3 linked regions of the Notamacropus eugenii genome follow. The protein of the gene in region 3 purifies or fractionates together with the protein of the main gene of each other region. This does not show direct contact. Links are inferred from orthologs where the notes say so. Each region holds a gene or a part of one and is shown on either strand. Other genes may lie near its edges.

Region 1 (7,913 bases), on a different chromosome or scaffold from region 3:
AGAATATAATTTAGGAAGGATGAAGGCATATGGAATTATGGTCAGAGAGGGGAATGTCAGAGATTCTAATTAGGGAAGTGAAGTATGTGAGGATTAGTAATGAATTCTAGTTTGTGATTCCCCCTATATGTGACTGAGGTAAAGAAGTGAGTTATAGGACTTGAGACTGAAGAATTGGGAGAATGGAACATTTGTGGCTATTCAAGTCCCCTAGTAGAACAGGATTTGGGAAGGAAATTAATATTGTGAACCTGGTACTAAAAGCCAAGAAAGTAGGGGAATATGACCTGGGGATCAGTATGACACAAGTAAAATGTGGATTCTGTGAAATGTTCAAAGGAGAACAAAAATAAAAAAGAAATCGATAGTCCCAAACAAGGGGAAAAAAAAACCTAAATGGGCTGCTAGATCTAATTCTCTGTAACAAAATTTCTGTACTTGGCAATAGAGATTAAGTATCTCTAAAAGACACAACATGCTTTTCAGATAATAAAACTGAAAAGATAAACTGTGAAACAATGCACTATATTTCGATACAATCATGAGTGATAAAACTTTTAGGATCTCCCACCTATCCTTTAGGCCTACTACAGTTTATAAAAGAAAGCTATTTACTTTATAGGAGTCATCCTACAGAAGACATAATTATGTATTCTCTGCACTATAACCTATTTTATTTTCATAAATTCTAAAATCCTTTATCAATATGCCCCCATGCTCCCTTTCAGCACTAAAATCTATGATCCTATGTGGAAATTCTAACTTGCAGTGAACCATTCCTATCCTGAATTTCTACAGCATTTACCTTGTCAAATTCTTTTAAATATTTAAAATATGCTACCTCCTCAATTAAATTTTAAGTTCCTCATGAGACAAGTGTGGTGTCTTATACTTTTGTATTCCCTAGAACTGTGCTAATCTGTTATCTTGAGTGTAAAATTAATTATGAACCTTATCAATTTAGCCAATATGTTAATGACCCACTAGGTGGCAAAGCAGTGATGCTAAGGATAAATAGATGAAAGTCTCAGTCCTTGAGGAATTTACAATCTAATGTGATAGATAAGACAGACAATCACAGTCTGTGCTCGATACTTACCCTTTACCCTTCACTCTAGAGGCAGCTGCATGTGATGAAGGGTGGTTAAGGCTTGCAGTTAGGAGAGCTGTGTTCCATTCCAGCTCCAACATTTTACTAGCCGTGTAATCATAGTCAAGTCACGTGTCAGTTTACTTATCTGTAAAATGGGGATCAGAGTTTCACAGATTTGGGAATGGATAGGATCTTTGAGGTCATCTAATCTAACATCCTCATGTAATTACCCAGGACAATAAGGCTCAAAGAAATCAAATGATCTATTCAGGATCACACAGGAAGTAGTACAAGAACCAATATTTGAATTCAAGATTTGACTGATCCAGCACTGTTTTCTGCTGTAAATAGTTAGATTACCTTGCAGGACTGTTTTGGTAAAGGACTTTATAAATCATGTATATGTGTGTGTATATACAAGCATATATATCATATATATCAAGCATATATAGTGCTTGATAAACCCTTTATATGTATACAAAGCATACACACACATACACAAGTTTTATGAAGTACTAGATTTAGAGTTAGCACATCTGGGTTTAAATTGCAGCTCTGCTGGTTCGTTAGCCATGTGTATTTTCTAGGCCTAGGGTTAATCATTTTTTAAAAAGAACTGGACTAAATCTCCAAGACCTCTTTTAATACTAAATCTTATATGAAAGATCTAGAGAAAGTGGCAAGCAAAATGTAGAAACAGATCACTTTAGAGGGCTGGAGCACGTACGTAATAGAACACTTCACAGAGGTGACACCTGAGCTGAGTGAAACTTGAAAGAAGAGTTTGTGAACAAGAAATCTACAGATTCTTGTATTCTAGACAAGGGGGGCAGTCTATGCATATGGCCGGAAGGAGTACAGACACCTAAGCAAATAGGAGTAGAATGAAATAAGGTAGCAAAGGTAGTTTGGAATCAGATTCTAGAGGTCTTTCACTACTAGGTAAATGAGTTTTTATTTTATCCTACAGGCAAAAGGGGAATGACAACATGGGATCAACGCATCAGGAGGGTCATTTTAACAAACATATAAAAAACATTTTAAAGAGATGAGAGACTGAAGGCAGGGCAACTAGTTAGGAAACTTACTGCAACAGTCCACGAGAAAGGTAAAGGGAGAGAGGGACTGCCTTGAACTAAGGCAGTGGTAACGTGTGGTCTGGAGAGACTGCCAAGGCAGAACCTACAGGTCTTGGCAATTCTTCAGACGAAGCAGTTCGAAGGGCATTCAGGGTTTGGGGCTCCAAGGAGGACATACTGAAATTCAGGCACTAAAGATGTCCAACAAGGTTTCGCAAACATCTTTTCAGCTTAGTTTAAAACTGTATGAAGAGCCTGCATAGGACTAGAGCTCAGGGCAAAGATAAGGAGCTAGACACAGAGGCGGGAGTTATCTCACTTAATTTAAACTGAGACGAGACGAGACAATCTCAGTGCTTTACAAGACCAAAAGAAAAGAGAAGGCAACCCTGCCCTGACGGACGAGCTTCCATCGGCGCTCTCAGGGCTCGCCCCGCACCGGGCACCGGGCGCCGCGGGCACGCAGCCGGGTTCTCGCCCTCGGGTCTCCCTGGCAAGTCGCTCCACTCATGGGGGGAAGACCGGACAGCGGACCGGTCCCGCGCCCCCGACCTCAGCGAGCCCGGCAGGAGGGCAAGCCCGTAAGCAGCGGGCACGGGCAGGGGGCGGGGCCGGGCCCGGCCCCTCTCCGGGCCTCAGTTTCCTCATCCGGCAAACGAAGGCGTGGAACCACAGGGCAGCCTCTCTGGGATCACTTTGAACCATAAGCCGGGACCCGAGTCCTGGCACTCGCCCGCCCTCCACCCACTCCTCCCCAGCACGCTCCCAAAGCCGACTCACCACTTACCCCAGGGCGCGCTCGTGGGGGGAGACGGGGGATGGCTTCTCGCCACCCTACCGGAAGTGGGGGGAACTCCCGGCAACGGGACCGAAAGATCCGGGGAAACGCGGGGCAGCCGGACTCCGCACAAAGACCTCCGGGCGTCGGCAAGACGGAGAAGCGGTCCCGGTAAAGGAGCAGGACTGCAGTGAGGCGTTCGCCCTCTCCACTCCCCCCCCTCCCCCAGCGTCCGAGCCCGGCCAGCGGAACTTCGGCCCTGAGGCCAGCCCGCGCTTTTGGGGGGGAGGGGAAGGGGCGGAGGGAAAGATAGCTGGTGCGAGCTGCCAAGAGCCGGCCCGAGCCGGCCCCGCCCCTTCATCGGGGACGCGGCGAGACGTCACGAGGTTGGGCTTCCCCGTCCTCCCCCCGCCTCGGCTCGGTTCCCCGGCTCGCGCCAGGCCCCGCCCCTTCGCCCCTCCTTAAAAGGGCGGGCGGGGCGCGAGGGGCCGGCTTCGTCTTAGCGCTAACGGTTTGGGCGAAGAAAAGTCGGGCCGGCAGAGGCCTTTGGGGGATACCTTGGAGGGGGCAGAAACCCCGGGCATCTGTGCAGAGGTCTCAGGAGGTATCAGAACTTGGATGGGAAAAAATGTCAACCCGAACAGCCGAAATCTTTCTCTTCACTAACCGTTATAATGCATTTCCTACTTTTATAAATTAACCTAATTTTAAAAAACCAAAGTATTTAAAAAAAATACCCCAGGGGATGCGTAGGCTTTACCAGACTGGCATACGAGGTGTATGGCACAAAAAGGTCGAGAGCCCCGCGCTGGGCAATTGTGGGTCTTACAGGTCGTGCCCAAGAAGGGCCTTTTGATGGAGGATGTGCGGAGGGCTTGGTGCGCGTTATCTGATTTACTGGGAAGTAAAGGTAGTAAGCGGAGGCCCCCAAAGTGTGACGGAAGTGACTGGAGTTAGACGACTACCCCTGGTCTTTCGATTGCGAAGTAATCGTAAATGGGCATTTTTTAGGAATCAGGCACCCTGCCAGGTCTGGAGGATACATTTCAAAATAATAGGGAAATGCCCTCAATGACTATATTCGTGTATGAACGTATAGAACTGTAAAATATTTTTATATAATGATTATCACAAAATATACACAAACTCTAAGTTAATATATTGGGGGTAAGGTGGTTGTGATCAGGAGAAACACCATGCTGTGATGATCTGGGGCGAGCACAGGAAGAAACTAAGGATTCTGTGAGGTAGAGGTGAATAGGGGGTGCATTCCAGGCTTGGGGGGCAATTTGTGGAAAGACTAAGTATCCTATGTTCGAGGAAGGGTAGGATGGCCAGTTTGGCTCTGCATGGTGGTGTGTGTCAAAGAGCTAACTGGATAAATCTGGAAAAAGCAGGTTGGAGCCTAATTTTGAAGAGCTTTGTATTCATTGACTCTTTCACTACTGTCTTCCTTAAGCTTTAGCTCTCAGGATATTTGAGTTATTTTAGAAAATAATCTAGCTAAATTCAATATATGGCTTTACATATAATGGAGAAAATGAGCCCAATACCAAACACAAAATTAGGTGATACTGGACACAATTGTGCTGAGAATTTTGAGTTGGTTTTTTATCTCCTATAACTATTACATCTATAGACTGAAGAAGGTTTAAGTTGTTTGATATAACAGAACCTAGTAGAATTTCATTATCTCAAAACCCAATCTGTTTTGCTAAAAACGATGAAATAATTAATTTGAGGAAAAATTGAGAAGCTTAAGGCAGCTGGTACGTTTTGAAAAGCTAAAAATTTTTATCTATGGTACAATAATCCTATGCACTGGCCCAAAATATTCACTTCTTTATGGTACTTATGGCAAGATTTATCTGACATAAAGTGCTCTTCATGTTTGCCACCCACCTTGCATATGAAGAAAGTGCTTTCTATCTTTAAGAATAATCGAAATTAAGCCAAGGAATACTGACTAAATAATGCTTATTTTGTTCTTTATGAAAATTGTAAAATAACAGTGTTATTTTAAATAAAATATGCTACACTTAAGCAAAGTTGAAAGCATTAAAATCTTAAGTATTTTTGAGGACTGGAGTTAAATGCTTTACGTCAAGAAAGGAAATCCTGTATTAATGGGCTTGTTGTATGTTACATAGCAGAGTTAAGAGGGTCTTTTTTTCTTTGGGGAGGGATATATAATTTTTTTCCTCTCTTAGTTTACACAGTGACATAGGAAACTGAGTTACATGAAGCCCGTACTCTAGCAGAGGTGTTATGCATCTTTTAGTAAGGTGGCTTGTAATGCCATCATCTAATTTGGACTAGATTCAATATGACTAGTTTCAGAACAAGAAAAAAGGAATTGTTTTAGAAGTCATTATAAGAAGCAGTTTCTTAACTTTTCTTCGAGAGTAAAGAAGATAGCTTACAGGCCACGTGGAGTTGAGGAAGCAAATGCAATTTCAAAGCCCTTTTTTGTGCCCTCTCCAGAAACTATATACAAGGGAAAAGGCAAAATAGAAGCCTGAAGTCATCACTAAAGACTACTTGGACTATAGTCCAAGCAAAAAGATAGCTCCTTAAACTTAAATTCATATATATTAGAGTCCAGATCATCAGATTGTAAATTCCCTTAGAATCTTCCTTCCAATTACATTTACATCCTCCAAAGCTCAATAGTATGCACATAATCAGAGCTAACTAACATTTATATAGTGCTTACGAGGTACTAGGCACTGTGCTAAGTACTTTACAGTTATTTTCTCATTTGATCCTCACAACAATCCTGGGGAGTAGTTTTACAGATGAAGAAATTGAAGCAAATAGAGGTTAAGTTACTTGCACCCACTAAGGCACACAGCTAATTAAGGGTCTGTGGTCTTCTGACTCCAAATCCAGTGCTCACAGATTTCTGAAATTTGTAAAGCAGGTGCTAGTAATATTAGCTACCAGACCCATGAATGTTGTGTTATTTTATGTCTTGGTGAGCCTGAGTAGGTTGAAAAAATCAAATAAAAATGAGAAAGTGTTGGGATTATTTTATAGTTATTTCTCAAGAAAACCACAGTTATAGATCCCCAAAATCCAGTTGAATTATAATTCCAGCCATTTGGGGATATATAAATTAAATAACTTGCCTCTGGGCTTCTCTCAAAGGAATGTTTTATAGCTAATTAAATGACTGTAAAGTACTTGTATGAATACAATGAAGTGCTAATTAATGAAATGAGAAAAGATAATTCTGCCTGTATTCAAATATATCAGTGGTCTTTTTTGGGTAATAGAACAAAAGTATTAAGATACAGGTAGATTAGGTAAGATACAAGTAAATTATGGTGACTTCATAAAAACTCAGAATTGAGATCAATGTCTGAAATTCATTAGCTTTATGAATTCCTTCTCTGGAATTAAAATGATCTAATTCTCCCCTCCTCTTTTTCCCCCAGGAAGCTGAAGTATATTATCTCCCTTTATCATTTTGGAGGTACATGTGTAGGCAATTGTTTCCTTGGAGGCAGAGAAGTTTTGGGAGTTACTGCTTTAGCATTATTGTGTGCCAGTTAGTACATCGAAAAATCCTGACTTAAGCTGTCAGATCTAATACCTGGTGTTTAAAACAAACAAACAATACATATACATACAAATATGTGTATGTGTGCATGTGTGTGTATATATATATATGTACAGAAGATATGAACTATTCTGAATTTAAGTTGCACATGGTTAACTTATATCCTTATAATTAGTTAGTTTCATTTATTTAATTTCTTAAAGAATTCATGATTTCACTGCTGTGTGTCTTACCCCACCCCATTCTCCACCTTCCACATCCCACACCCTCCATACCAGACTGAGACGTTGAAGTGGTACGGTAGACAGAACATTAGGTCTGAAGTCAGGAAGACTTTTCAAATATGGCCTCAGACACTAACTATCTTGGTGACCCTGAGTACTTTCTCAGTACTTACAACCTCTGTTTGTCTCAGTTTCCTCAAATGTAAATTGGGGACAATAGTACCTACCTCAGTGTCTTTGCCAAGAAAATCTCAAATGGAGTCACAAAGAGTCACACATGACTCAATCAACTAACAACAACCACCTAGGGTTAGTTGTGAGAATCAAAGAAAAGGTATTTATAAAAAGCTTAGCACAGTGTCTAGCTCTAGCACACAGTAAGTACTATATAAACCGTCATCATCATTGTTATCATTAGATTGGATCCCTCTTTAACTTTAGCTAATGGTCTTAAAGTGTTGTTGTAGGCAAGAAATTTATCACCTTGTGGCCAGCCTGGTGAATAGGTCCCCTTCAAACTTGGCCTGACTAGTTGATCCACAATAGATTACAGTCTCTCACCTGCCAGACTTAAAGTTTTTCTAGCTTGGAAGGACCTGCCAGAACTTGTATTCTGCTTGCCTAGCCTTTGAGAGCTCAGGATCTCATCCAGAACTTGATGAAGCATCAGAGAAGGACTTCCGTGGAAGAACTACTGGAAACTACAAGAATTTTGTTTCATATTATTTTAAACCAGGTATGAAGAAGACTATGACCTAAGGGAAAGATAAGAGAAACTAATGAGTGCTTTTTATCTCCAGACAGAACTACTAATCCTAAAGCGAGTTATGCACTAGAGCTATTTGCACTGTTGCAGAAGAAAAGTTAAAAAAAAAAAAAAAGACAAGAGGATAACTGCTTGAGGCAGGGGGAAGCACCTGGAAATGAGTTCTAGGATCATGAATCTGGAGTTGATTGAGGTCATCCAGACTAACTTCTTATTTTACAGATGAGGAAACAGAAGTCTATTGTTACATAACTGTTTTATAACAAGTGAAGATTCAAATTCAGTCATTCTGACTCCAAGTTCCGGCATTTCCCCCCACTATACCCTTAAGCGCTTTAATGTTATAACAGAAATTGTAGAAACAATGTTTGCAATAGTATGTATAGGGAGAGGAGTGGAATATTCAAG
Region 2 (7,608 bases), on a different chromosome or scaffold from region 3:
CTTCACACTGTCTTTTATTTTTTCATTCTTTCAGTTTTGTTGTTTTTTTAATTTCTCATAAAGTCATTAGCTTCCATGTGTTCCATTCTAATTTTTAAGAAATTATTTTCTTCTCGCTCGCCTGCCCGCTCTCCCCGACAGCCTCGCGCGCCGTCGCCTCTCTCCCTCGCTCCGGCTCCCGGGAGGAAGACCCTCCTCCGTGCTCTAGATCGCAGCAGCGCCCAGCTGCTCGACTCGCCCTACTCCCCGCTCCCGCCCGCCCAGGGACCACACCGGGCTCCGGATCGTCCGCTTTGGAAAGATGGCCTCAGGAGTGCAAGTAGCTGATGAAGTATGCCGCATTTTCTATGATATGAAGGTTCAGAAATGTTCCACACCAGAAGAAATCAAGAAAAGAAAGAAGGCAGCTATCTTTTGTCTCAGTGCTGACAAAAAATGCATCATTGTGGAAGAAGGCAAAGAGATCTTAGTGGGAGATGTTGGCGTGACCATTACTGATCCTTTCAAGCATTTTGTGGGAATGCTTCCTGAAAAGGATTGTCGCTATGCTTTATATGATGCAAGCTTTGAAACAAAGGAATCAAGAAAAGAAGAGTTGATGTTTTTTCTATGGGCACCAGAACTAGCACCTCTCAAAAGTAAAATGATCTATGCAAGCTCCAAGGACGCAATCAAAAAGAAATTTCCAGGCATTAAACATGAATGTCAAGCAAATGGACCAGAAGATCTCAACCGGGCTTCTATTGCTGAGAAACTAGGAGGGTCCTTAATTGTAGCTTTTGAAGGATGTCCTGTGTAGATGGTCATGTCAGTGCCACAAGGCTGAAAAGCTTCCATGTTTAATGTATCTTCTTGCTAAATATGTAAAACAAATATACTTAGGCCAGGGTTTCACTGAGGGGGAGCTGTCTTGTTCTAGATTAAATGAGATATTATATAAACCTGTATAAAATAACCCTAAATAAATCTAAAATCTAAAAAAAAAAAAAAAAGAAATTATTTTCTTTATTTAGCTTTTGGACCTCCTTTTCCATTTGGGCAATTTTACTTTTTAAGACATCCTTCTCCTCATTGGCTTTTCGGACATCTTTTGCCATTTAGGTTAGTCTATTTTTTAAGGTGCTAAGAAAGGAAGGAAGGAAGGAAGGAAGGAAGGAAGGAAGGAAGGAAGGAAGGAAGGAAGGACATATAGCCAGTAAACCCCAAATGAAGGGGAGAGGAAGACAGAAGGGACAGGATAAGCTGGGTTACCCAGCTAGGTCCCCTCTCAGACAGCTCAATCTACTCACAGGTTGTGTTGGTCCTTCATTTTCAAAGACATGACATCAGAGAAATGATGACATGACTTGCACTTGACTTTGTTTTGAGTGAGGGAGGGCTGTGCAAGGTCATCAGCCTCACTTTCTTTTCCTGTACCATGAGAAAGATAATTTAAAAAATTATTGGACTACTTGAAAGCCATGATCAAAAAAAGGAGTCAAGACATTATCTTGCAAGGAATTATCAAGGAAAACTGCCCTAATACTCCAGAATCAGAAGGTAAAATAGAAATTGAAAGAATCCACCAATCACCTCCTGAAAGAGATCCCAAAATGAAAACTGCCAGGAACACTATAGCCAAATTCCAGAGTTCCCAGGTCAAGAAGAAAATATTACAAACAGCCAGAAAGAAATAATTCAAGTATTGTGGAGCCACAATCAGGATAACAAAATATTTAGCAGCTTCTACATTAAAGGATTGGAGGGCTTGGAATATGATATTTCAGAGGGCAAAGGATCTAGGATTACAACCAAGAATCACCTACCCAGAAAAACTGAGTATAATTCTTCAGGGAAAAAATGGACATTCAAAGAGATAGAGAACTTTTGAGCATTCTTGATAAAAAGATCAGAGCTGAATAGAAATTTTGACTTTCAGATACAAGACTCAAGAGAAGCATGAAAAGGTAAACATGAAAGAGAAATCATAAGGGACTTATTAAACTGCTTATTTTCCTATATGGAAAGATGATATTTGTAACTCATGAGACCTTTCTCATTATCAGGGTAGTTAGAAGGAGTATATATGACAGAGGGCAAGGGTCTGGGTTAAATATGAAGGGATGAGATCTAAAAAAATAAAATTAAGGGGTAAGAGAGGAATGTATTGGGAGAAAGAGAAAGCAAGAGGTAGAATGGGGTAAATAAACTCACATAAAAGAGACAAGAAAAATCTTTTAAAGGGAAGAGGGGGTAAGTGACAGAGAGTGAGTGAATACTACTGTCATCAGAATTGACTCAAAAAGGGAATAATATACACACTCAAGTGGGTATGGAAATCTATCTTACTCTAAAGGAAAGTACGGAGGAAGGAGAAAAGAAAAGAGAGGGCAGATTGAGGGAGGGGGTAGTCAGAAGAAAACACTTTTGAGAAAGGACAGGATGAAAGGAAAGAGAGAATAGAATACACAGGAGAACAGGATGGAGGGAAGTACAGTTAGTCCTTCACAACATGACTTATGGAAACATTTTACATGACTATACATGTATAATCTCTATCTAATTGCTTGCCTTCTCAATGTGGAGGGAGAGAATTTGGAACTCAAAGTTTTAAAAATGAATGTTAAAATTGTTTTTACATAAAACTGGGGGAAAATATAATGCTAATTTTAAAATAAAAGGAGATGGGCCATCTCATCAAGTGAGACAGAGACAGTGGCAGAAGTAGTGGAAATAGTGGCAAAAGGCATCTGGGTGATATGTGATGAGGAGGATGAGAGAAAAAGGAGATAATGTCAGTGAATGGCCTTAAGTTTTAGTAAAATATGAGATAAGGTTCTTAGCTAAAGGGTGAGGCTTAGGGAGAAGTCTTGAGAGATTTAAGAAGGGCTGAAAAGGTTTGGAAGAGTTATGGTAGTGAGTGGAACTGTGAATTGTTAATCAGAGATGTATAAAAGGATTGCCTAGTATTAGTGAAGACCTAGTTGAGATTATGTAACATATATTTGTAGTAGCCCCAGGCAACATAGTTTCAAGTTCTGTGATTTTCTCCAGCTTTATACAGTAGCAAATGTGTAAGAGGGAATCCAAGTGGGAGTGATCCAAGGCTGAGGCTTGGTTGGACAAGATTTGTGATAGGATAAGGGACTAGTCTTTCATGAGAAGGGTTACCCTCCCCCTTGAGAGTGATCAGAGGAAAAAGCTTTCATTCTGACCCTGGATTTGTACATGTAGGCTAGATATATTTGAGGGGTGGGCTATAATCTGAAGTCTGGACCACTTTTACAGAGAGTAGGATAATAGCTATGTCAACACCACCAGCAGGACAGCTGGAGGGGAGTACAGGTAAGGTCCAATATCTCTGAGGCTGAATGATCTCTGCTCCAGCTTTCAAAAGCCGTGTAGCAATAAAAGTATATCTCTAGTCCGGCTCTTAAAAATTCATGCCTTTGCCTCTTGGGAGTCTCTTTCAAAGTTCTCTCTTAAAATGTCTTCAAAGAATGGAAATAAGTCCTTTCCATTGGTACTGTTGTGCTCAGAGTTCCCTCAGCCCCTCAAGAGTACTTCAGGGACATTTAAAAAACATCAATAACCAATCACAGTGCTCAAGGAATGATGACTTCCTGGGGAAGTCATGAGATGAGGCTTAAAGAATAAAAGATTTGGAATACATTTGTAAAGGACCATTGGAGACATGAAGGTACCAAGTGTTGGTGCACATCAATTCACTTCAGAGTTGGGCACCAGCAACTGTCTGCTGTTGGAGAACTGAGCTGCGGAGAAGGAACCCACCTGTGTAGTCTGATTGGAGACTAATGAAAAATAAGGCCAAGGAAAAGGTGGGAACAAGTCTGCTTTGATTTCACAATGATGCATGGGGAGATTATACATTTGTAACAGATAGGAATTCACAATCATCTTTCTTTTCTTATTAAACACACTTTCACATTACTCATGTTACATAGAAGAATTAAAATGAATGGGACAAACCCTGAGAAAAAACTAAACAAAACTACATATAGCACAAGAGAAAATATTCTGCCTCCTTCTGTGATCCAATTCCGCATTCTTTTTCTGGATGTGGATGGCATTGCGCCCCAGTCCACCCGGATGTTTGAAGGTCCCTGCATTGCTGTGAAGGGTTAAGTCTACCAGAAAAGTTCCGGGGGCCCCACAATCATCTTTAGGTGGCTTCTCATAAATGAGCTGAAATAGTCCTAAGCCATTCAGTATCTGGCATCCCAACCAGCTCCTGGGGAAGGTCTTGTAAAAGTGAAACAAGGAAGCCACGCTGAGCAGGGAGCCCAAAGGCCAGCCTAAAGAAGAGATGAATGAGGTGGCCGTCTAGACCTGTTGTTGCCCGGGTTACAACATCCCCAGACAAAAATAAGCCGGCGTCGATTAGCGATGTCTGCCCCGGGAATCTAGGAGGAGAGGGAAAGACCCCCGACTCGCTTCGCCCGCGGGAGCGGTGGACGGGAGGGCCTGGTTTCCTCTCTCTCGTTTTCAGAATGCGGGGAAGTTCGCGCTTCTCGGCGCTCGATTGGCCGCGTCTGTCCGGTCTGCCGTGTGATGTCCGGGAGGGAGGGAAGATGGCGGCGGTAGCTGCTGGTGGCCTAGTGGGCAAGGGACGGGACATCAGTTTGGCGGCCCTGCAGCGCCATGACCCCTATATCAACCGCATAGTGGACGTGGCCAGCCAGGTGGCCCTATACACTTTCGGCCATCGGGCCAACGAGTGGGTGCGTGAGGCCGCGACGGGGCGGCCGAGGCCGACTCGGGCTGGGGGAGGGGCTGGGCCTGCGCGGCCTGGCCCCGGGGCCGGGGGCCGGGATCCCCGCTGGGACTGGAGGCTTGAGGCCGGCGGGGGCGGCGGAGGGGAGGGAGCGAGCCGACGACCTCGACCCCCGGGGCGGGGCGAGGCGGGGGCGGGGAGTTCAGGCCAGGGTCGGGGAGGGACGGTCGTCCCAGCCCAGGGGGGCAGGACCCAGCACTGACCCTTAGGAAGAGCGACGGCAGCTAAGCGTTTATAGTAACCTCAGGCGGGGCCAAACCTCCCTGCCAGGTTAGGGTGATTTTTAAAAAATAAGTTTTAGAATACTGAGTGCCAGCTAAAGGCATAGTCCGGTGATAGGCTCGTTTGGGAATGCAAAGACGAGCTGGACCAAATCCCAGCCCCAAAGTACAAGTAGGGAAAGGGTAAAGTTGGGGGAGAAGTCTGGCCTTTATTTCTGGGGTCAAGAGAAATCCATCATGCTGGAAGTTTGATGCTACCAGGAGTGAAATGCATGGTAGAGGGCTTGAAGTCAGCAGACCTGGGTTCAGATTCCAGCAAGAGAAATACGAAGCTGTGTGACCCTTGGCCAGCCATGTAAACTCTGAACCACTGTTTCCTCTGCAAAACGGGATAATAACGATCAGATGAAATAGGTAGTACAGGTATTAATCATCTATTTTTACACAGACCCAACATTTTCCTAGGTGGTAATTGTCTGAGTCAGAAAGAACTTTAAAACTTCCAATAGGTATTCAATAAATATTTCTTGAGATTGTTAATTTTTTTACTGGGATAGGAGACTAGAGGAATTCTGTAGATATGTAGGTGCTTAGATTTAGTAGAGTGTTTCACACACTATCTCATGCACTTGTGGAAAAGGTGAAGAAATGTAGTCTAGGCATGGTCTAACGTTTTGTCATCAACTTGGAAAGTCTTTAATGAAGTGCTCCTGGGATCTGTCCTTGGTTCTGTGCTTTAAATTGTTTATCACTGACTTGGATAAAGGCATAGATGACATGCTTATCAAATTTTCAGATGACACAAAACTGAGAATTAATGACACTAGTTGAGAGGCATGAGATTCAAAAAGAACTTGGTGGTCTAGAGCATAGGGCTGAATCTAATAAGATGAAATTGAATAGGAATAAATGGGAAGTTTTCCACCTGGACTGCAAAAATGAACCTCACAAAATTAAGATGGAGCAGGTTTAAACAGAGAGCTATCCAAATTTGCAGTGAGATTCTGTATATGTAAGAGAAAGGAGTTGATTTCCTTTTATTTGACTTTTTTATGTAAAGGCTGGATGAGAGCACTTGGTGGATATGATTTAAAGGGGTTTTGTTTTTTTTTTTTCAGTTATTGATAGCCTCTAAGGTCCCTTCTGATTCTGTTGTGAAATTCCTCCACCCCAGTCCTCCAGCATATAATCTGCCTTTGCCTAAGACAGTAATAACATTGCCATGATTTCTGCCTTTCCGTTATGCCAACAAATATTTCTAGGTAAAAGAATGAAGGTAGGAAGAAAAGACAGGATAAGACTTAAGGCATGGAGGGAGAGAAAGTTGAATGTTTAAAGTGGAGGTGTTAATGCCAGGCTAGTTCTTCCAAATGGGACAAGTTGTATTATTTTCTCTTTGGAACTGAATAATTTGAGTGCCTGAGTATTCCTTGAGTGAATTCCAGTTTCCCTGGCAGTTAGGGGATAGGATGTGATAACTAAGAAAATGTCATTTGTTGAAACATAGAGGTGTGTCTTTCTGCTTTTTGAACAAATTGCTATCAAATTCATATAACAAATGGTCATTCTCTTAAAGTATTGAAAACTCTTGCAACTAAAAGAAAAAAATAGTTCGGCTGTAAAATCTGAGCATATGATCAATGGGAGTTCATAACAATTGCCACTACTGTCACCAACTTCTGCCACTGTGGAATCTTTTGAGCGTGAAACTAGAGAAAACAGAAAATATTTGAGAGTTAAAGAAGAAAGTTTGCAGGAAGACAGGTGGATGCCCAGGGGACCAGTTACTGCTGTAAGCAAAATAAATGAGGACTGACCTAATTAAACAAGAAGACAAGTAGGGATTGGGGAGGAAGAATGGGCAAAGAATGAAGTTCAGTTAGAAAAGGAAATGAATGCTTAGGCATTGTTAAAAACATGTAATTTCCCACTGGACTAGGATATTTAAGGCAAGATTTCCTCACAATTGCCAAGAAGGCCTGTATCACACAAATATCTATGCAGCATTGAATGGTATACCGTGATGATTTTTTTCCCCCAGTTCTAATCATTTTCTGTTAGGACTGGTCCTCTTTGCTCAGAGGGATAATTTAAGCCCTGTGTCTCATCATTTGAGACTGTAATGACTAATGACATAAGTTAAAGTTATGTGAAAAGCCTTAGATATTTTAGTCTTGATGTCTGATAAGTCCCAACAGTTTGTAAAACAACAGAAAAATTTATTCTGTGGTTTATTTTTTTTTTATTTTGAGCTGCTTAGTATTTAACACAATTTGGCCTTTATAATGAAATTCAGTTAAAAAGATTAGATGCCATATTTTAACATGAAATCAAAGATTTACTCATTGAAACAAAGGTAGGCTATTTCTAGATGGAACAGAAATCTGTTTTAAACAACATATTTCCTTTTGCCATGAAGTTCACTAAAAGAGTATTTTGCCTTCTGCTGATTTGTATCCTTTGAACCTGAGTAGAACAGCTATTTGCATTTTCAAAAGATGTTTTATCTAAGTAGCCTAAGTATCTAAGTAGTACTTTAACTTGTTATCTCTTCAAATCTCTGAAAGTCTGAGTAATGAAAATTAGTTATTTCCCCCTTTCCATGAGGGAAAA
Region 3 (7,555 bases):
CATAGACTCCTGTGTGGCATTGCCTCCCCATCTCTTACCTCTTCATGGTCGTGGTCATCCTCCTCCTGGGTGCATTCCAGACTGTTAATGTCCTTTCAGATTGACAGTTCCAGAATCAGACACCATTCTCTAGCTATGCGATGCCCACAACAGTTTAAAATGATACTATCATTCCCCTCATTCTGGGTGCTACACCTTTATTATTTAAATTTTCAGTCGTAATGTTTTTAGAGCACTTTCCTTTCACATTTTCTCCCTCTTTCCCACTCCTCCTCCACTCATTGAAAAGGTAAGTAATGTATCATTTATACAAGTGATGCAAACCATATTCTCCATGTTGCAAAAAACCCAAACAAACCCCCAAATAAAAAACTCGACAACCTCTTTTATTAAAAGCAAGAAATGTACAGAAAGTGAAAAACTTATACTTCAGTCTGCACTCAGAGTTCATCTGTTCTCTCTCTGGAAGTAGATAGTATTTTTCATCATGGGTCCCTTGAAATTGTGTTGGATCATTGCACTGATCAGAGTAGCTAAGTCTTTCACAGTTGATCATTGTTACAATGTTGCTGCTGCTGTGCACAATGTTCTCTTGTTCATTTCACTTTGCATCAGTTCATATAAATCTTCCCAGCTTTTTCTGAAACTGTTCTGCTCCATCCTTTCTTATAACACAATAATATCCATCACAATCACATGCTACAACTTGTGTATCCATGCCCCAGTGGATGGGCATCCCCTCAATTTCCAATTCTTTGCCATCACAAAAAGAGCTGCTATAAATATTTGTGTACATACAAGTCCTTTCCCCTTTTCTCTGATCTCTTTGGGATATAGACCTAGTAGCAGTATTGCTGGGTTGAAGGGTATGTACAATTCTATAGCCGTTTGGGTGTAGTTCCAAATTGTTCTCTAGAGGTTGGACCAGTTCACAACCACAGTTGTATATAGTAATGTACGTAGTACATTAGTGTACCTATTTTTCTACAGAGGAAGAAAATTTTTAAAATTAAGCAAACTGCTCAATACAAAGATATATGCAATGTTCCACCTGCATGGATACCTCCTCCCTCTACTTCTACAAATAAGAAAAATGCATTTACTCATCTTTTCTTCAGTGCCAAACTTGGTTATTATAATTATATGGTGTTGCAGTTTTGGTTATTTCTCCCTCTGGACCCATTAATTCTACAGATGAAGAAACTGGAGCCTAAAGAAGGAAAATGACATGCCCAAGGACATATAGGTAGTAAACAGCAAAATTATATTTTGACCCCATATTTTGTTTCCAGATCTTGTACTGTTTCTTTTTTCCCCCAACATTCCCTTTTATAAGATTCTGAGTTCCAAATTTTTTTCTCCCTCCCTTACTTCACCCTCCCCAAGATGGCATGCAATCTGTTATAGGATATACTTGCAAATCTTGTACTCTATTATACTAGTCAAGTCAGCTATGACCTGAGAATGCTGCTAAGAAGAATCAAGGCAAGCCTTTGTTCCTCTCAGGCAGAGGTTCTTAACCTTTTCTGTGGAATAGACTCCTTTGGCTGTTTGGTGAAGTACATGTACTGCTGAAAGTCTGTCTTTAAAAAATTGAAGAAAATTCTAAATTTCAGTTTGTTGTTAGTGAAAGTAAAGATATAATTTCTCTCCCATCCAAGTTCCTGGACCCACTGAAATCTGTCTGTGGACCTGAGATTGAGAACCCATGATCTAAGAATCTGGAACTCCAGTGTTGAGGTGATCCTGTATATGTGATAGCAGCGATTCTTAGATTCTCACCCATAGTTTCTGTGACTTGTTGGATGCACGAACCCTGAGGTCAACACATTGGCCTGATTTGTAGACCCGAAGTCTCTTTATGTCCATTCCAGTTTCAATTAGAATGTGATCAGCTGCCCTGCAGAAGGAGGGTCATAAACCACATAAATCTCCAATTATAATGTTAATATGAGGAAAGTGCTTTGTATACCTTAAAGTACCACGTAAACCCATATCACTGTTATTAGGCTATCATGAAGCTCCCTGCTTGATATCTGGCTTATTGGTCAATCAGCTTCTGTGTGATTTCTTCCATTCCCAAAATTTGGATTTTTAAAAGAACAAGATACAACTGTCACATTATTCTTTGTAACCACTTCTAAATATCTCCAAAAGCTGATTAATATAGACTTTCTGAAATGTGCATTTAATTAGGTTTTGTCTTCATTTTTAGGAGCACTCCCAGGAATTTGTCCTTCTCACGAGTCTGTGGTTGCCATGATCAACAGGATGGAGGAGAAACTGATTTAGGAAGAAATTGGTGGCAAAAGAGCAGGGAGGTTGAGAGGTCCTTTCATCTCGGACACTTTCCTGGAACAGAGATTCACAACTGAGGCAGCAAACCCAATTCTTTTTCATCGTTATGTTAATAACAATATTGACAACTGATTTTTATAGAATGCTTTTTCACCATTTAAACTTTTCACTGTTTCACTAGAAAGTAGTTGTATTTTTGGGGGGTTGATGATACAGGCTATGCCATTTATAGTTATTATTTAGAAACATTACATTTATCCCTTTTTGAAAAGTTTAACATTTTAGTTTCTAATTGAATAGCTTTCTGGACTGATGATACCTTGGGTTCCATTCCATTGATTCGTCAGGGTTAGGGAGCCTAGGTTCAAATCCTGCTTCTCCCATTCGGTATTTGTCCTTCATGGTTGAACAGGACCAAAATGGCACTGCTATGTCAGAGTCAAGTGACAACTATCCAGCTGTGGATCAGACCAATATGAGCTGGGAATGTTCTACCACAGGTCGGGCACAAATAGTCCATGGGAACACTTGGAGTGGATTCTCTAAATTTGCCCATCCCAAATTTCATTTGAGCTACTTTAATTCTGCTTTGCTCATAGACCACAGCACTTTCTCTGATGAGAACATGCCATGCTGGGCAGTCCTGTGTCAGTGTCTTCCAGGTCACCCATTTATTACCCATAAAGAAGTGTTTAATTGTTCTTTATCTCCGTTTTCTCTCATGTGTGGAAGGCCTGAGAGGGTTGGGCTGCTAACTTTAAACTTTTTCAAACTTTTTGGTTTTAGGATTCCTTTACACTTTTAAACATTATTGAGGATATGCTAAAGAGCCTTTTTTAAAATGTAGCCTCTATCTTTGGTATTTGCCATATTAGAAACCAAAACACTTTAGTATTATGAAAATAGTTGTGATCTCAAGGACTTCTCTTTTTGAAAATCTCTGGTTTGGATGATTTTCCACTTCTCCTCAAGTTCTGTGTAATCCCCTGGGTTTTGCACCTTAAGTTTCTGTATTCCTAAAATGTGAGGGTTGGCTTTAGATGACCTCTGCCATCACCTGAGAACTCTCCCCAGTTCTAAGTGGCTGCCATCTTCTTTGAAATCCTAGCTCTCCTTCAGGCCCCGGTCAGCCTCCCTCCTCTAAGCAGGCCTCGGTGTCCCCCACAGCTGCCATTCCACTCTGGCTTTCATCGCACTTGGGGCACTTGTGTATAATGGTTCTGGGTTGGAGGGTTTTGTTTTTTGGGCTTATTTCTTCTGCTACATTTTAAGGTTCTTGAGGGTAGGAACTTCACTTTCTTTTTTTTTTTAAATCTGGTCCGTACCCAGGATTGCAGAAGAGGCTCGAGCAACGATAAACGAACGCCTGCATGTAAAACCCATTCATTTGTCCGCTTTCGAGCCAGCCTAAACTGGGCGCAGGAAGACGGTTGGACTTACAGGGGACACGGTCACGGGGGATCTTTCACGCGCGGTTATGGAGCCCGGTGTGCCAAGCCTTGGCTCACATCCAGAGGGGGGGTCCCTCGTCCCCCTCTCTCACCTCCGGCCCTTCCAACTCTTCCTCATCATCCCCTGGCAAAGGGCACGCGAGGCTCCTGCCAACATTGGGGGGCAGTCACATGCTGCGGGAAGGTGGGGGGGCAGACCCCGGCCCAGGAACAAAAGGAGGGCGTGTGTGGTTGTGAGCCCCAGCTCCCTTTGGGGGGTGCAGAAGCCGCAGAGCGCGGCGTGCCCGGCCCGGGATGGCAGGGGCGATGCCACGAGCGCAGGGGCAGGGCACGGGCGGCACGGGCAGCCTGCCGCTTTCTTTCTCTTTTCCCCGGCCACCCCGCTCGCAGCGGGAAGGGGCTTCGGGGGTGATCGGAGGCCGCAACCGTTACGGAAACACGCCCTAGGTGGCTCGGCGAAGGGGGGACCAAACTTGGGGGGGGCCCCTAGCGCCAGCTCTGGGGGGAAGGGAGAGAGGAAACGTCGGTTGGAGACCAGGAAGTAGCGGGGGTGGGGGAAGGCCGAGGAGCGGTTTGTGGGGGAGGGGCCGGGCGTGGCTCGCAGGCCGAGGCCGGGGTCGCCGCCCTTCCGCCCAGCCGCCCTGGCTGCGCGGTCCCGTTCTTGCGTTCTCTTCCGCCTTTCCCCCAGCCCCTCCCTAGAAGCGCGTGCCCGGCAGCGGGGCACGCGGACGGGGCGGGGCGCGTCGGGCGGACGCGCAGGGCGGGGCGCGGCCGGGGAAGGAGGCGGGGCGCGGCCGGCGCAGGGCGGAGCGCTCCGTGCGTGCGTGCGTGAGGCGCGTGGGGCGCGGCGCGGAGCGCGCTGTGCGCCAGGCGGATGTCCGGGCCGGCCGGGCCGGAGCTGGGGAAGGAGATGGCGGAAGGCGGAGGTTGCGGGCAGCGGCCGGACGCAGAGACCCAGAAATCCGAGCTCGGGGCCTTGATGAGGACGGCGCTTCAGCGAGGGGCGCAGTGGTGAGAGCCCGAGCCGCAGCCCCGGCGGGCATGTGGCCTGGCCCCGGCCCGGCCGCCGCTGCCGCGGTCCTCCCTGCCCGACCCAGGCCCTCGGCCCAGACGCGGCCTGCCGCTTCCCTTTCCGTCGCTCCCTCCCAGCCGCTGCCTTTCCTTCTGGCCGAGGCTAGTCTCGTAGATCCCCTTCCCTAGCCCAGCCCAGTCCCGTGGCCTGCCCGTGTTCCACCCCGGCCCAGGCCTGGCTCCGGAGTCTTCTCCATTACCCTCCCCCTGCCTCATCCACCGACCCTTCGTTCCCTTGTCCCCAGCCCCGGACGGCCCCCAGAGGCCTTTTGTCCTCCCTTCCCCAAGTCCAATGAGGCTCTTACGATCCCGCCCTAAATCATTCCCTTCTGCTTCCTCCGCCCTTTTCCGGGAAGCCTCTTACCCTGATCCTTCTCTAACCTAGTGCCTGACACTTAGTGGGTAGGCATGTAGCAAATGCTTGTCGCCTTCCTCCTTCGACACGCCCCACGTTTCTTTCCTGTTCCTCTCGAAGGTTTCACATCTTCGCTTGTCATGTTCTGGATCTTCAGTTTCCTTATTTTCCCTTATCTTTCCCTATCCCAATCCCTCCAGCTGAGTAATTTTGGACCCTTTAACGTTGAAACTTCTCTGGGAGGTGCCGTATTGCAGAGGGTAGTAACCCTCCGTTTCTGTGGCATGAGCACCCCGGAGGAAAGTAGCTTTGAGGGGAATTTTGAAGGGAGTGTTTGAGGAACTGGGTGCTGAGTAATCATAAACTGGTGCTCCTGGGAGTGGGAGCTGGAATAACCAGAGGTAGTAGGAATGAAGAAACTTCTTTAAAAGGAGGGCGTGGGGAAAGATGAAAGAGGATGTCTCTACCACTTGATTGGTTGAGGACTTAGAAGCCCAAGACAAGTAACTTGCATTAGTGGAAGGATTGTGGGAACTGTGAGGTGTTTTGGAGAGAGAATTGGTAAAATTCTCAAAAATAATTTTGGCAACTACATTTTGGAGTTGGAGAAGAAAGTGTCCAGGAAGCAATATTGAGTTGTGTTCTAGATATCAAGTGACCAAGGCTTACGTTGGGATTGATGATTGGGTTTTTTAGAGGAAGAAATGGAGCCATGAGTTCTCATGGTCCTGATGGTGTAATGGATGGATGATGGTATGACCAAATGAGGTAATATGTACTGTGCTTTGCAAATCTTAAAGCACTATACACACTGTTTAAAGGCTAGCTGTTTTAAGAACAGCTTTTAGCTGTTATTAGCTTTGACTGATGAAGAGCTAAATATAAAGCTCAAGTTTTGTCAGTAAAAAGGAATGGAAGTGATGTAAGATTGAGAGTGTGAATATGTCTTGCACACATTGGGTGTGTGTGTTGGGCTGGACTTGTAATTTAAAGTGTGTTGTGGATATTTTCTTACCAACAAAGAGAGTTCAGAGAATTGTCTGGAGCTTTTAGAATTTAGGTGACTTGCTCACGGTCACACTGCTAGTAAGTGTTGGTGGCTGGATGCCTTTCCCCCTCTCCTTTTTTCTGACTCCTTGGCTTTCCATCTATCTGTTGGCTCTCAACCCACAGCCACACTGCCCATCACTTTGCACTTAATGAGTTTGTTGAATTGACTGACATGATGTAAAGTAATAGGTAAGTTAGAGAATTTGCAGTGCGCTGTTAGCTCAGAGTAGCACCACCAAACCAAGCTAGCTTCAGGGATAGGTACATTTAGAAGGTGTTTGTGTGGTGATAATTCAGAAGAGATTCTAAAGACAAAAAGACCCTGGAGAGTTAGAAGGTGAACCAAGGGATGCCATTGTTTCCTCGAGAAAAGGAAATTTATTATGTTAACAAAACCCTGAATTTTGAGTAGCATTTTGATGAGGCTTGTGAGGAAATAGATAAGATCTTTCTAAAGCATGCCCTGCATCATACTGTTAGAATCACACAAAAATTTTTTAAATGCAGATTTTCCTTTTTCAGAAGAAGTGAATGAGGTGGTTAGGATGACAGGCAAAGTACGTTACATTTATTATACATTTATTCATTTTCTGCTCTCTGCTAGAGCATTGTGATAAACAATAGAAGGGATGTTCAAAATTGATGTAGAAGACAGACCCTTCCCTCATATAGCTTCTAGTTTAACCAGACATTAACACTTCCAAACACATTGGGGAGGAACTTCAGTAGGACCATAGCAGTGTCCTAGCCTTCATTGCCTGACACACAAAAAAACTGATTACAGAATAATGCATTTGAGGTTATTTAATCATAAAAATTATTCATTACTTTCTAGAATATACGTGTGTCACAATTCAAGTAGGAGGTTAGAAAGCTGAAGTTTGGTAGTGCATGCTAAACTTTACCATTGTATGACCTGAATTTGCTTGGAGAATTGTATATGAGGATCTGATATAGTTCCATCTATACGGTAGTTACTGTTAGTTGATTGACTGTATTAGTGAAAAAGGAATACAGGAATGTACTAGGTTTTCACTGATCTAGGTGGATGAAAATAGTTCTGTGGTTTCAATTTCTTCCCTGAACTCATTAGCTTTCCATAAATCCTGGGGGATATACCTCAGAAACTTGTGTTTTGCAGCTCTACAGAGTTTTTTCCCTCCACATTTAGTTGTAATATTTATTGAAAATGCTTAAAACACACACATGCCCCAGATTTGCTAAAATTTCCCTAACTATAAAAAGTAGCAGATTGAATGTAAAATGATAATTATATAGCTTGGCAAGAGGAAGGGAGCACAATTGGCACATTTCTATAAATACTAAACGC

Evidence for each region.
Region 1: the proteins of USP4 (region 3) and RBBP8 purify together in Homo sapiens (affinity purification with western blotting; 3 studies listed by BioGRID, with this or other methods). This does not show direct contact. The link is inferred for Notamacropus eugenii from reciprocal best matches to the Homo sapiens genes USP4 and RBBP8.
Region 2: the proteins of USP4 (region 3) and DCP1B purify together in Homo sapiens (co-immunoprecipitation; 3 studies listed by BioGRID and IntAct, with this or other methods). This does not show direct contact. The link is inferred for Notamacropus eugenii from reciprocal best matches to the Homo sapiens genes USP4 and DCP1B.

Annotation. Positions count from the first base shown.
Region 1 is NC_092875.1:246,866,907-246,874,819, reverse strand, and holds the start of RBBP8 (DNA endonuclease RBBP8), read right to left. Parts: upstream 3,098-7,913; 5' UTR 2,960-3,097; exon of another isoform or gene 2,953-2,959; intron 1,239-2,952; exon of another isoform or gene 1,100-1,238; intron 1-1,099. UniProt on the Homo sapiens protein: Endonuclease that cooperates with the MRE11-RAD50-NBN (MRN) complex in DNA-end resection, the first step of double-strand break (DSB) repair through the homologous recombination (HR) pathway.
Region 2 is NC_092874.1:205,635,585-205,643,192, reverse strand, and holds the start of DCP1B (mRNA-decapping enzyme 1B), read left to right. Parts: upstream 1-4,571; coding exon 4,572-4,721; intron 4,722-7,608. UniProt on the Homo sapiens protein: May play a role in the degradation of mRNAs, both in normal mRNA turnover and in nonsense-mediated mRNA decay. May remove the 7-methyl guanine cap structure from mRNA molecules, yielding a 5'-phosphorylated mRNA fragment and 7m-GDP.
Region 3 is NC_092872.1:6,873,735-6,881,289, forward strand, and holds the start of USP4 (ubiquitin carboxyl-terminal hydrolase 4), read left to right. Parts: upstream 1-4,523; 5' UTR 4,524-4,623; coding exon 4,624-4,760; intron 4,761-4,766; exon of another isoform or gene 4,767-4,922; intron 4,923-7,555.